Linked DNA regions of Xenopus tropicalis. The protein of the gene in region 3 interacts with the protein of the main gene of each other region in a biochemical or structural test. Links are inferred from orthologs where the notes say so. Each region holds a gene or a part of one and is shown on either strand. Other genes may lie near its edges. The genes, in order: asf1b, asf1a and chaf1b.

Region 1 (4,298 bases), on a different chromosome or scaffold from region 3:
TAGAAACAAATAGGAAATAAGTTTGAAAATCAGCAGTTCCTAAAGAAAAGCATTTCAAGAGCATATATCTTTAAGTGAAAAGGTATGGCAGTCTTTCTGTGAGAAACTGCATTCTGAATTGCATTTCTGGCACTTATTATACTCTGTACTTGCCCTTCTCTAACAGAAATACAAGAAGCCTATGTGTGTGTAAGGGTGAAGACACACTGAGCTACTAGTAGCAGCTATTTTTAATGGCAACTAAACTCCAGAAAATCCCCTGACATAGACAATACTGAGAATTGCCTCTGCTAACACACAGACTATCAGTAAATGATCAGCATTGTCTATTTTAGTAGCCACGACAAGTTGCTGCAACTAGTAGCTCTGTGTGTCTTCACCCTTACACTGCACAAACCCTTTCCTTAGCCTCTATTCCCCCCCATTCATCCTGATATCTGAAAGTCAATTAGAAATAAGCTCGGCTGTGCACCCCACAAATCAGTCGCTGGATTTCCCAGTTTGCTCAACAGGGGACTCCTCTCTATTCCGCTCAATATCCTCTTCACTCCTTGGAATCAGTCGCAGACACATTACAGTGAGATCCTGCCATGCATCGAGTCAATCATTTCTGCATTTAGACGAACACCGAATTTAAAATATGGGAAAAATTCAAACCACGTCACCTTCCATAAACTAAAAACACATGTCACACTTAGCTGCCCAAAGCTTTAAAGGCACACAACTAAGGGGTTGAATGAACACCTAGGGGTATATTTATCATGCTGTGTAAAGAGTGGAGTGAAACATTACCAGTGATGTTGCTCATAGCAGCCAATCAGATGTTTTGCTTTGGTTTTCTAACTGTTGAAATCTAATTGCTGATTGGTTGCCCTGGGCAACATCACCGGTAATGCTTCACTTCACTTTTTACACAGCATGATAAATATTCCCCCAAGTATTTAGCTGAATCCTGCAAAAGGTGCCTGGATTTGGCCAACTCCTGAACTGAGCGTTTCTCTAGTAGGAAGCAATGGCACGGGAAGTTTTAATGCTGCCCAATAGCCGTCTGTTTGCGCTGCCGGCAGTGCTGTTCCCACTGTTCTGTCAGGTTAACAGACAATTCTATGATGTCTCCTACTCAAGCCTTGTTATCATATTACAGCATGCATTACATGTTCAGATCCCCCCCATTACAAGGTAGAGTTACTGGTGTATGCATATTATAGCAACAAAGGGAAGCCCTGTGGGTACGATATACTGTGAAATGACCCCAATGACCAGCCACATTCAACTCGCTACAGGCAGTGGGACAGTTACTTCTTATAGCACATGTCTGAGGGCCAATGGGGCCTTTGGGAGGAGCGTGGGGGGCACATAGATCCCTTAAGGTGGCCATACACGCACCGATAATATCGTACGAAACCTCGTTTCGTATGATATTCAGTGCGTGTATGGTATGTCGGCGAGTCGACCGATATCGCAGGAAGCTGCTGATATCGGCCGACTCGCCGACCGGACCAGTTTGAAAATTTTATGGCGCCTGACCAAAATCTCCCTTCAGCTCTGAATCGGCAGAAGGAGGTAGAAATCCTATTGTTTCTACCTCCTTACCTGCCGATTCAGCCCTGAATAGTGTGTGGCGGATCTGACGATGTTTCGTGCGACCGATGGTTGAACGAAACATCGTCAGATCGCCACGTGTATGGCCAGCTTTAAGGTGGCCACACACGTGGCGATCTGCGATCTTTTGTGCAACCATCGGTCGCAGGAAAGATTGTCAGATCCGCCACTAACCTTCAGCGCTGAAACTGCAGGTAAGGAGGTAGAAACAATTGGATTTCTACCTCCTTCTGCTGATTCAGCGCCGAAGGGAGATTTTGGTCAGGCGCCTTCTATGGCCCCCGATCAAAATCTTCTGACGTTGCTGGTCGGCGAGTCGACAGATATCAGCAGCTTCCTGCGATACCGGTCGACTCGCCGACTTGCCATAAACGCACTGAATTTCGTACGAAACCAGGTTTCGTACGATGTTATTGGTGCGTCTATGGCCAGCTTTAGATCTGGCCCACGGGCCCCAACTTGGCTACTGCCAACATGAGCCCCAATACTAACAATGGGATCCCCTAAATATGCTACTCACATTCCAATGAAAGCAATGTTAACCGAAGTAGCAATTATTTCTATATAGGTGTCACACTGGGCTCAGACAGGACTTTCATCCAATAACCGGTTACAGGAGGAGGCTCACAATAATAATAGTAACAGGTTATTATAAGCACCAACACATACTGCAGAGCTGTACAAAGCCATAACTAAGTATCCCTATCAGTTAGTTATCCCTATCAGTTAGTTATCCCTATCAGTTAGTTATCCCTATCAGTTAGTTATCCCTATCAGTTAGTTATCCCTATCAGTTAGTTACCCCTATCAGTTAGTTACCCCTATCAGGCAGCCCCCAGGGCTGAACTACAACTCCCAGCAGCCACAGACACACAGAAGCTTAACAGAAATAAAGTGCAAGCCTTTATGCCAACTAGTGATACAATTTGTATGTTGAGCATTAAACTATTTTCGGATGTTGGCCAAGTGCAAGACTGAGGGCTCCCTATACAAGTATATTCCTATATAAGTTATAGGCACACATTAGCCACGCCCCTGTGAGTAAACACGTACAGGGAAATGGGGATTATGGACACACAGGTAGGGACTATTAGTTCAGCCTGTGGCCCCCGAGTTAATATTCTACAGAGACTTGTAGTTCACCAGCAAGGTGGGCATGGGGGGAGTAAGAGTGGGCTGACAGCCCGGAGTAGAAAGGAAACAGCACTCACCTGTTGTGGCGTCTCCTCCTTCCCCGGTATGCCCGGCTGTACCGCTCCGTCCCACACAACCGTCACAAACAGCCCGCTCCTTCTTTCCCGCCCTCCGTTTTGTCTCCCGCGCCTCGCTTACAACCTCACTCCAAACGCGCCCCCCAGCCCCGCCCCCTCTGAGCCGCAAGCCCCTCCCTCTCACCGTCAAGCAACAACCAATGACGCTTCTGGATAGTGTGAAACGCATAATCACCCCCTATCTATGCAAGCCTGTAAACAGGGGTATAATGGCTCTCCCCCACGTACAGCCGAGTCTGCCTTACCAAACCAGTACATTAAACGGATTCGCTTCCTACGTCTAAAAGCCGTTCGAAGTCGTTGCCAGCATTAAAGATGGCCGCTGATTCTACCAGCTTTGGTCACATGGTCGGGGCTTGTCAGTAGCTCTCACGTTTGATTGGAGCACGGTGTTTGCTTCCCGCGCCGTTTGACGTTCGTTCCCGCGTCGGGCATTATCTTCCGGCTTAGGCTGACGCAACTTCCGGATAGGCAGGTATTGCGCGGGAAGTAAGAATGCGTGGGGTAGGTAATGGGGCGCTGATAAATACCATGACGCACTTGTGAAGCTGGGGTGTAACGGAACCGGAAACAGACTAGGGGCGGCCGAGTAGGGTACTTACTGGTAAACATTTTCCTGCCATATATTTGTTTTGTTGCACTAAACCATTATTTACACCTTAAGCATTTTTTCTGGATAAAAAAAATACAGGCTTTCATTTATTTGTGTGCATATTCCCTATTAATAAGGTTGGCATCAAGCATCATTTTTACTGCTTAGGTGGCAACCTTGCTTCAGCAGTGTGGGCAGTATATGTATTTATACTGGGAACTGGCACTTATATTGAAGTGTCACCCACTGTGACCTACAGCACTTACATTTGCCTATTTGTGTCTGTAAGTTACCCCTCCCATATAGATTGTAAGCTCTACGGGGCAGGGACCTCCTTCCTCTTGTGTCCTCGACTCTTATCTTATTGCAACTGTATCTTGTATTTATCTGTATTTATTGTTATACTGTGTATTTATCTATTATCTTAATAACCCCCTGTTTGTATTAATGTATTCTACTGTACAGCACTGCGTACATAAGTAGCACTTTATAAAGATATACATACATACAGAAACAAAGGCTGCGCTATAAAGTTTTATATTTCTATCAGGCTTGTTTAACCCCCCCCCCCCCAGCCTCTGTAGGGAATTCTGGGAATTGCTGTGCAACAAAATGATAGAAGGAACGCAAGATGGCTGTTAGAGGCGGATGTAACCGCCTCAGCCTTTATAGGCGCTCACGCCATAATTCATCGTTTCTAATGCTGTGTGAGAGGGAAATGGCTCTGCTATGTCTAGTCAAGGATTAAAGGGGACCTGTCACCCTAAGAAATAAGTCCAAATTGTTTTCTATATTGTTAGTTGAGCAAAATAAACTGTACTTACTCTATATAA
Region 2 (3,093 bases), on a different chromosome or scaffold from region 3:
AAGAACTGATGTCTCTGTCTCTATGCTCCTGCCTACCATGACTAATTTCCCCCAAGAATTACGTGTACAGACAGACAGTGTGTCAATATATAACATGTCAAGGACTGCTCCCCACTGAAGTTTGACAGCCACATAGCTAGTACACTTTAAGGGCTTTGGCACACAGGGAGATTAGTCGCCCGCGACAAGGGAGATTTGTTGCGGGCGACTAATCTCCCGATGTACCAAAGCCCTTAAAAGTGTACTTGCTATGTGGCTGTCAAACTTCAAACTTTTTCCTGTCAAATCTCCAGGAAATGCCATCCCACCGGTGAGAATGTAAATTGCCGGTGGGATGGCATATGCAGTGCTGCGATTTCCATTCTCGCCGGTGGGATGGCATTTCGGGGAGATTTGTCGTGGGCGACTAATCTCCCCATGTGCCACAGCCCTTAGTCCCAAGTGTCTAGAAAGAAATGGCATCTTGCAGATTAGTAATGGATAGATATGCACTCTGTAATAAAATTGCAGTGAAATATCTGCTACTTGTGGTACAGGAATTAGTCTGCACAGTGGATGTACTATGTAGTGGCAGCTGTACTACACATTCTGACCAACTAGGCAGAGATGTACAGATTCTTCAGTAACTGGGAAAAAACTAAATATCAAGCCCCACTAATTAATCATATCTGCTTCCTAGAGAATCAATTTTTCTGAAGCTTAAAGGAGAAGGAAAGGCTAAGTCACTTGGGGGATGCCAAAATGTTAGGCACCCCCAAGTGACTTTAATCGCTTACCTTGTACCCCGGGGCTGGTGCCCCTGTTAGAAGAAAACCGCACCAGCCCTGGGTAGCTGTAGCGGAGCGCTTCCTTCTTCCGTGTTTGCTCTGCCGGCAAAATACCTGAGTGAAAAGGTGACTTCTTGTTAAAGTTCAGCTTTTCACCCTACTGCGCATGCACGAGCGCGAACAAGGAAGAGGAAGCGCTTGCTGCAGGCACCCGGGTTGGTGCTGTTCTCTCCAAACAGGGGCACCAGCTCGGGGTACAAGGTAAGCGATTAAAGTCACTTGGGGGTGCCTAACATTTTGGCACCCTCAAGTGACTTTGCCTTTCCTTCTCCTTTAAGGAAGAATCAGTGTGGAGCCGAACAGTAGATTCTGACAGAGAACATTTGTAACTGCTTTGTCTCCATCTTTGTTTAGGCTGATGCCCCCAACTCAGGCCTTATACCAGACGCAGATGCCATTGGTGTAACAGTGGTGCTTATCACATGCACATACAGAGATCAAGAGTTTATCAGAGTGGGCTATTATGTTAATAATGAATATACAGAAACAGAACTGCGTGAAAACCCTCCTGTGAAACCAGACTTTTCCAAGGTAAAGAATTTACAAACTCTGCAATAAATAGTTTGAAAAACAACTGCCAGGTGATGTAATGTTTATTTTGCATTGTTGGGACTTCACATTGCGGATCATGATCAAATGGCACAGATGCAGAAGTGTCACCTAACTGCAGTAATATGGTGCACAACACAAACCCACTACAGTGGCTTCTAATGCCTTCCCATCAGAAATAAAGTGAATCACCGGTGGAAAGGCTTCCGCACCTCTAACATTTCCAAAGTCGCATGTTGTTTCCTACTGCAAACAGAGTCGAGGTCGGCCTGAAAAAGCAAAAGCAGGCATCTTCAAGCCAACCTCTACTGCGTGTGCCTGCATGGTACATACAATTTTACTTTTATGTCCAGGTCAATGGAGCTGGTTAAGGGAGCCGTTCCGCTTCTCTCAGCCTGAAAAAAAAAAAATGCAGGCTGAGGGCAGTGGAACCAACAGTCCATGTACCCTCAACCTAAAAGGCTTTCAATTATCATTTAAATCATTTACATTTTCTCTCTGCTGCAGCTTCAGAGGAACATCTTGGCATCAAATCCTAGAGTAACCAGGTTCCACATAAACTGGGAAGAAAATACAGAGAAGCTTGATGAACTTGAAGATAGTAATCCTCATCTGCATCCAATACTGTCAATAGAAGCCAGACCTTCAGCTTCAAAAGGATGGCCTATGTCAGAGAACTCTTTAAATGTCATGCTAGAATCGCACATGGACTGCATGTGACTTTACTTTTACATCTTTCTACTTTCAAGCCAATGGGAAAATTGCACTTTGCAACACTATTTTCCAATAAATAGGACACCAGGAAACATGTCCTTGGCAGAAACCTTTATCAAAGGGTGGAAACAAAATGTGAACTAGGGGGAAAAGTTTTTAAAAAATCTATTTTTAATTATTTTTGTTTCTGCTTAAGGCAGGTATCTATCAGCTATTTTCCAAACTAGTTAGAACATGCAACTGCAGCACATTTTGCTATTTATTTGGAGATGTATTGTTTTCTGATATTTTGCTGAAATAAATCTATGCTTGATACCACAGACCTGACATATGCACACTGTGGGCCATCCACAGTACATCCTATTTGATTACATAAAATCTATTTCAGATGGATTCTATTCTTACAACAAATAATGCCTTTATAGTTTACTTTCTTGTTAAAAGGTAATTATTTACCAGTTTTGGTTTTATAAACAATACATGTTTTGCATGGTTTTTCTTTTCAAGCGAAAACCAGAGGGTGTTATATCTTTAAAATTTTACAATTGCTAATGCCAAGCAAGCAGTTGGCTATTTAGCCATTCGATATAAAATAGTTTCTTCTACAGTCGGGAAAAAAATATGCAGTCCCTTTGTAAACAACTCTAATCCAGTATTAAAGGACAATGAAAGGTTAATATAAATTAAAAGTAAATCTAAACGCATTCTTTTTAAGTACTTACTGCATATCTAAATTCCCAGATCCCTGCTTGCCTCTCTGAGATATGGTGCTGGCAGCCTACAGCAGTTAGAAGACTACAGTGACATCACTGAAATCTCTTTCCCCTTCCTGTAGGTGCCAGCGGCAGCCTTCCTATTCTCTGAGCATGTGTGTAACTTGATCCTGTCTCCTGGTCTGAGATACACATGCCCACCAGCCAATCAGAAGCGGATCTGGCAGAGGGGAGGGGGGGGAGGGAATGAAACATGTGCAGTATGAAGCAAGGAGGGAAAGGAAGGGAGA
Region 3 (3,654 bases):
CCTGGTTAAAAGGCTGCCAACCTAAAATATTAAAGACCCAAAAACCATACACATTGTAGGTCAATTGCAGATTGTTTTTGAATGTCACTTTATAGGCAATATTAAAAATTCATCATGCAGCAACTCTCCAATATACTTAATCCAAGTCATTATATGTAAATATAACTGATATTACAAGCAGTATCTGTGTGACATTTTCTGCACTGCTGGCTCTAACCCCTAAAACAATGTAGCAGAAGCCAGCTGCTTAATGAAGCTGCAAGAAAAACTGACTTCTGCTACATTGTTTCAGTGTCAGAACCAGAGAAAAGAAAGGGGCAGGCAGCCTCTGCTTTCACTGGCAATTACATTTCCACATCAATATAAAACCAATGAAAATGCGTAATGGAACGTTGCTTAGAATTGTATTTTCTTATGCTGGAGTTGTCCTTTAAATAAAGGATTTACCTAATTATGGTTAAAATGGTCTTGGGTTGGTGAATGGCAGCCAATTCTGTGCAGTTCCTCACTCATGTGATTGTGTTTCAGGATAATGCGAGTTTACAAGACGGAGACCAAGAGAGTTGCTTATAACGTGAGCAAGATGGCGTCTGCTCCTGGCGCTGACGGAGAGGTATTGCCTTTATTCCCTCTGTGCCCGTTTTGGCTTCTACAGACTATTCTGTGCCTACACGTGGCTCTACAAGGGCTGATAAAAGCAGCCTATGGACTGAGTACGGGGCCCTTCAATGGGCCTATTCAGTCGATATCTGGGCAGTTTGATTTTCCCATTGGATCAAGGACCACATCAATGCACACATACAGTCCTCAATCCAGCGGGAAAAATCAAAGTGCACAGATATCAGCATAGCAGCAATTATGATCCAAGGTCAGACAATTGGATCAACCCAATACCACCCAACCCAGGGTGGGCATATTGGAGAACGATTTGCTTGTTTGGTGGCCTCGGCAGACAAGCAGATCTTGCAATGTATGGGCCAGCTTCAGACTTGCACTGATTTCACCTTTGTAACATATGTGCTCTGATTAGTGGCCGATTAGCAGTATCCTTGCATGATTGGCTCACATAGATCTTATATATTTTAGTCTTTGTCTCCCCCCTGGGGCGTGTCAGAATTATTCATTAGTTTTGTTTTCATGGCAGGTAAAAAGTTTCCGCATGTACCATGATGACAGCATGAAGTCCTTCTTTAGGAGATTGACTTTCACTCCTGATGGATCTCTGCTTATAACCCCAGGTTTGTACCCTGTGCCTCTCTATGTGTCCCACACCTGCCATGTCATTCTCTATGGGATGCTCCCCCTCTCCCCAAGTAGCATTCATTATTCTGTTCTAGTGCAATTATATCTGAGAATAGATACCCTCTTCAAGGACCAGCAATCTGTGGGTTCTGGCAAATGCCAGAGGGGCTGCTGTATGATGCCGTAGACAGTCACTATTTATTGGGCTGGGGAGTGCTGTTTTGGCCTCCATGTACTTAAAATGCCAGGGTCTGTTTTTAGTCCCAGTCCAGGCTGGTAGTCACAAGCTGCTAATGAGTCCGGCTTCATGGTTACACATTCTGTTGCATGGTAACGCGTGGCTGCAGTTTATATAAACAAAGTTGCCCTGCACTGGTAAAAGTTGTGTGTGTGCCTCAGAATCCCTACTATAGTTTATATAAACAAAGCTGCTGTGTAGCCCCGGGGGCAGCCATTCAATTTGAAAAAAGGAGAAAAGGCACAGGTTACATAGCAGATAACAGATGCGTTGCATAGATTCCCATTGTATTCTACAGAGCTTATCTGGTATCTGCTATGTAACCTGTGCCATTTCTTCTTTTTTCCGGCTTGAATGGCTGCCCCAGGGCTACACAAGCAGGGTATTTATATAAACTATAGTAGGGTTTCTGTAGCAAACACCCCAGCTGTACCAGTGCAGGAATGGCTGCCCCTGGGGCTACACAGCGGGGTATTTATATAAACTATAGTAGGGTTTCTGTAGCAAACACCCCAGCTGTACCAGTGCAGGAATGGCTGCCCCCGGGGCTACACAGCGGGGTATTTATATAAACTTTAGTAGGGTTTCTGTAGCAAACACCCCAGCTGTACCAGTGCAGGATTGACTGCCCCCGGGGCTACACAGCGGGGTATTTATATAAACTATAGTAGGGTTTCTGTAGCAAACACCATGGGCATATTCTCTGCCAGCATTTTTCAGCAGGCAAATAAGTACACAGATATGCAAACTAGTTGTTGCTAAATTTTTACTCCCATGATCCTTAGTTAAGGGTGGTCACAGGCCCAGACAGCTGGAAGTTGTGCAACTGCACAAAAGCAGCAGGGGAAGCAATTCAGTGTCAGTGTTGCGTTCAGCTTAGCTCTGTGCTCTTGCTTTCAGCTGGCTGCGTGGAATCCGGGGAGTCGGTCATTAACACCACGTACGTCTTCTCTAGGAAGAACCTAAAGCGGTAAGTTCCTGGATGTATAACCTGTGATTGCCAGCATCCTCCCAGCAACAATATCAGAAGGGTTGCCCAGCTGAATGAGCCCCTTGTCTTCTGATATATTTCTTTCTTTATCTCCCTAGACCAATGGCACATCTCCCCTGCCCAACAAAGGCCACCCTGGCTGTGCGCTGCTGTCCTATTTACTTTGAGCTGAGACCAACTGTAAAAGGTATGATCCTAGGGAGCATCACAAAGCATGCTGGGACATCCAGAGATTAAACCTCTTATCCCAGGAACCGGGAGGGGAAAATGTCAATAACATGAAATTAAATTATTATTATTTATTTTTTAAAAAGATGATTCTGGGGAGTCCCAACCGCAGGGTCTCATCACCCAGCCATACCGTATGGTGTTTGCTGTCGCCTCAGAAGACGCTGTTCTATTCTATGATACACAGCAGCTGTTCCCTTTTGGCTACGTGTCTAATGTGCACTATCACACACTGAGCGATATTTCATGGTATGTACATGTACAGATTATCATATCAGGGCACTAAAGGCTCCCTGCCTATACCATACCCAGCCCCTAGGTTACATGTTTTACTGACTGAGAAACTCTGAATATGACCAATGTATAGGGGCAGGTACTACAGTTTCCTACATGTCCTTCCAAGCACCCAAAAGACCTTGAGCTTATAGGGTGCTACATTGAACACCCCCATTAAAAGGGTGCTTCACCCCTTAATGTTAACTTTTAGTATGTTATAGAATGTTCTATTCCTAGTAACTTTGCAATTGGTCTTTATATTTTGTATTATTTGCTTCCCTCTTGTACATCTTTGCAGTAAGGCTGCAATTTTACTATTATTATTACTTATCATTTTACTCTCCTTTTCATATTCAAAGCTTTCCACCGGTGACTCCTATTGTTGCTGGTGAAAAGCTGTTTCGGAGTGGTAGTCACCCGTGATAGCAGAGATCTATCTCTTAGCCACTGCCACCCTAACCCACTAACTGGCTGCTAAGGTAAACAAGACCCTAACAACCAGATAGCTGCTGAAAATCCTAACTGGAGTACATTTAAACAAACTGCTAAATAAACAAGACCATAAAAAATGAAAACCAATTGCAAATTGTCACCAAATATCAGTCATGCTAAAAGTCAATTTAAAGGTTAACCAGCCCGTAGTAAAATTTTAGTTTCTATAGTTACCGGTCTGAAAGCT

What was found.
Region 1: the proteins of chaf1b (region 3) and asf1b form a complex in vitro, tested with the Homo sapiens proteins (2 studies listed by BioGRID and IntAct). The link is inferred for Xenopus tropicalis from reciprocal best matches to the Homo sapiens genes CHAF1B and ASF1B.
Region 2: the proteins of chaf1b (region 3) and asf1a form a complex in vitro, tested with the Homo sapiens proteins (2 studies listed by BioGRID and IntAct). The link is inferred for Xenopus tropicalis from reciprocal best matches to the Homo sapiens genes CHAF1B and ASF1A.

What each region holds. Positions count from the first base shown.
Region 1 is NC_030679.2:134,227,229-134,231,526, forward strand, and holds the start of asf1b (histone chaperone asf1b), read right to left. Parts: upstream 2,863-4,298; 5' UTR 2,814-2,862; intron 1-2,813. UniProt on the Homo sapiens protein: Histone chaperone that facilitates histone deposition and histone exchange and removal during nucleosome assembly and disassembly. Cooperates with chromatin assembly factor 1 (CAF-1) to promote replication-dependent chromatin assembly.
Region 2 is NC_030681.2:73,630,830-73,633,922, forward strand, and holds the end of asf1a (histone chaperone ASF1A), read left to right. Parts: intron 1-1,181; coding exon 1,182-1,358; intron 1,359-1,883; coding exon 1,884-2,096; 3' UTR 2,097-2,519; downstream 2,520-3,093. UniProt on the Homo sapiens protein: Histone chaperone that facilitates histone deposition and histone exchange and removal during nucleosome assembly and disassembly.
Region 3 is NC_030678.2:12,925,999-12,929,652, reverse strand, and holds part of chaf1b (chromatin assembly factor 1 subunit B), read left to right. Parts: intron 1-528; coding exon 529-613; intron 614-1,144; coding exon 1,145-1,238; intron 1,239-2,380; coding exon 2,381-2,450; intron 2,451-2,569; coding exon 2,570-2,658; intron 2,659-2,785; coding exon 2,786-2,948; intron 2,949-3,654. UniProt on the Homo sapiens protein: Acts as a component of the histone chaperone complex chromatin assembly factor 1 (CAF-1), which assembles histone octamers onto DNA during replication and repair.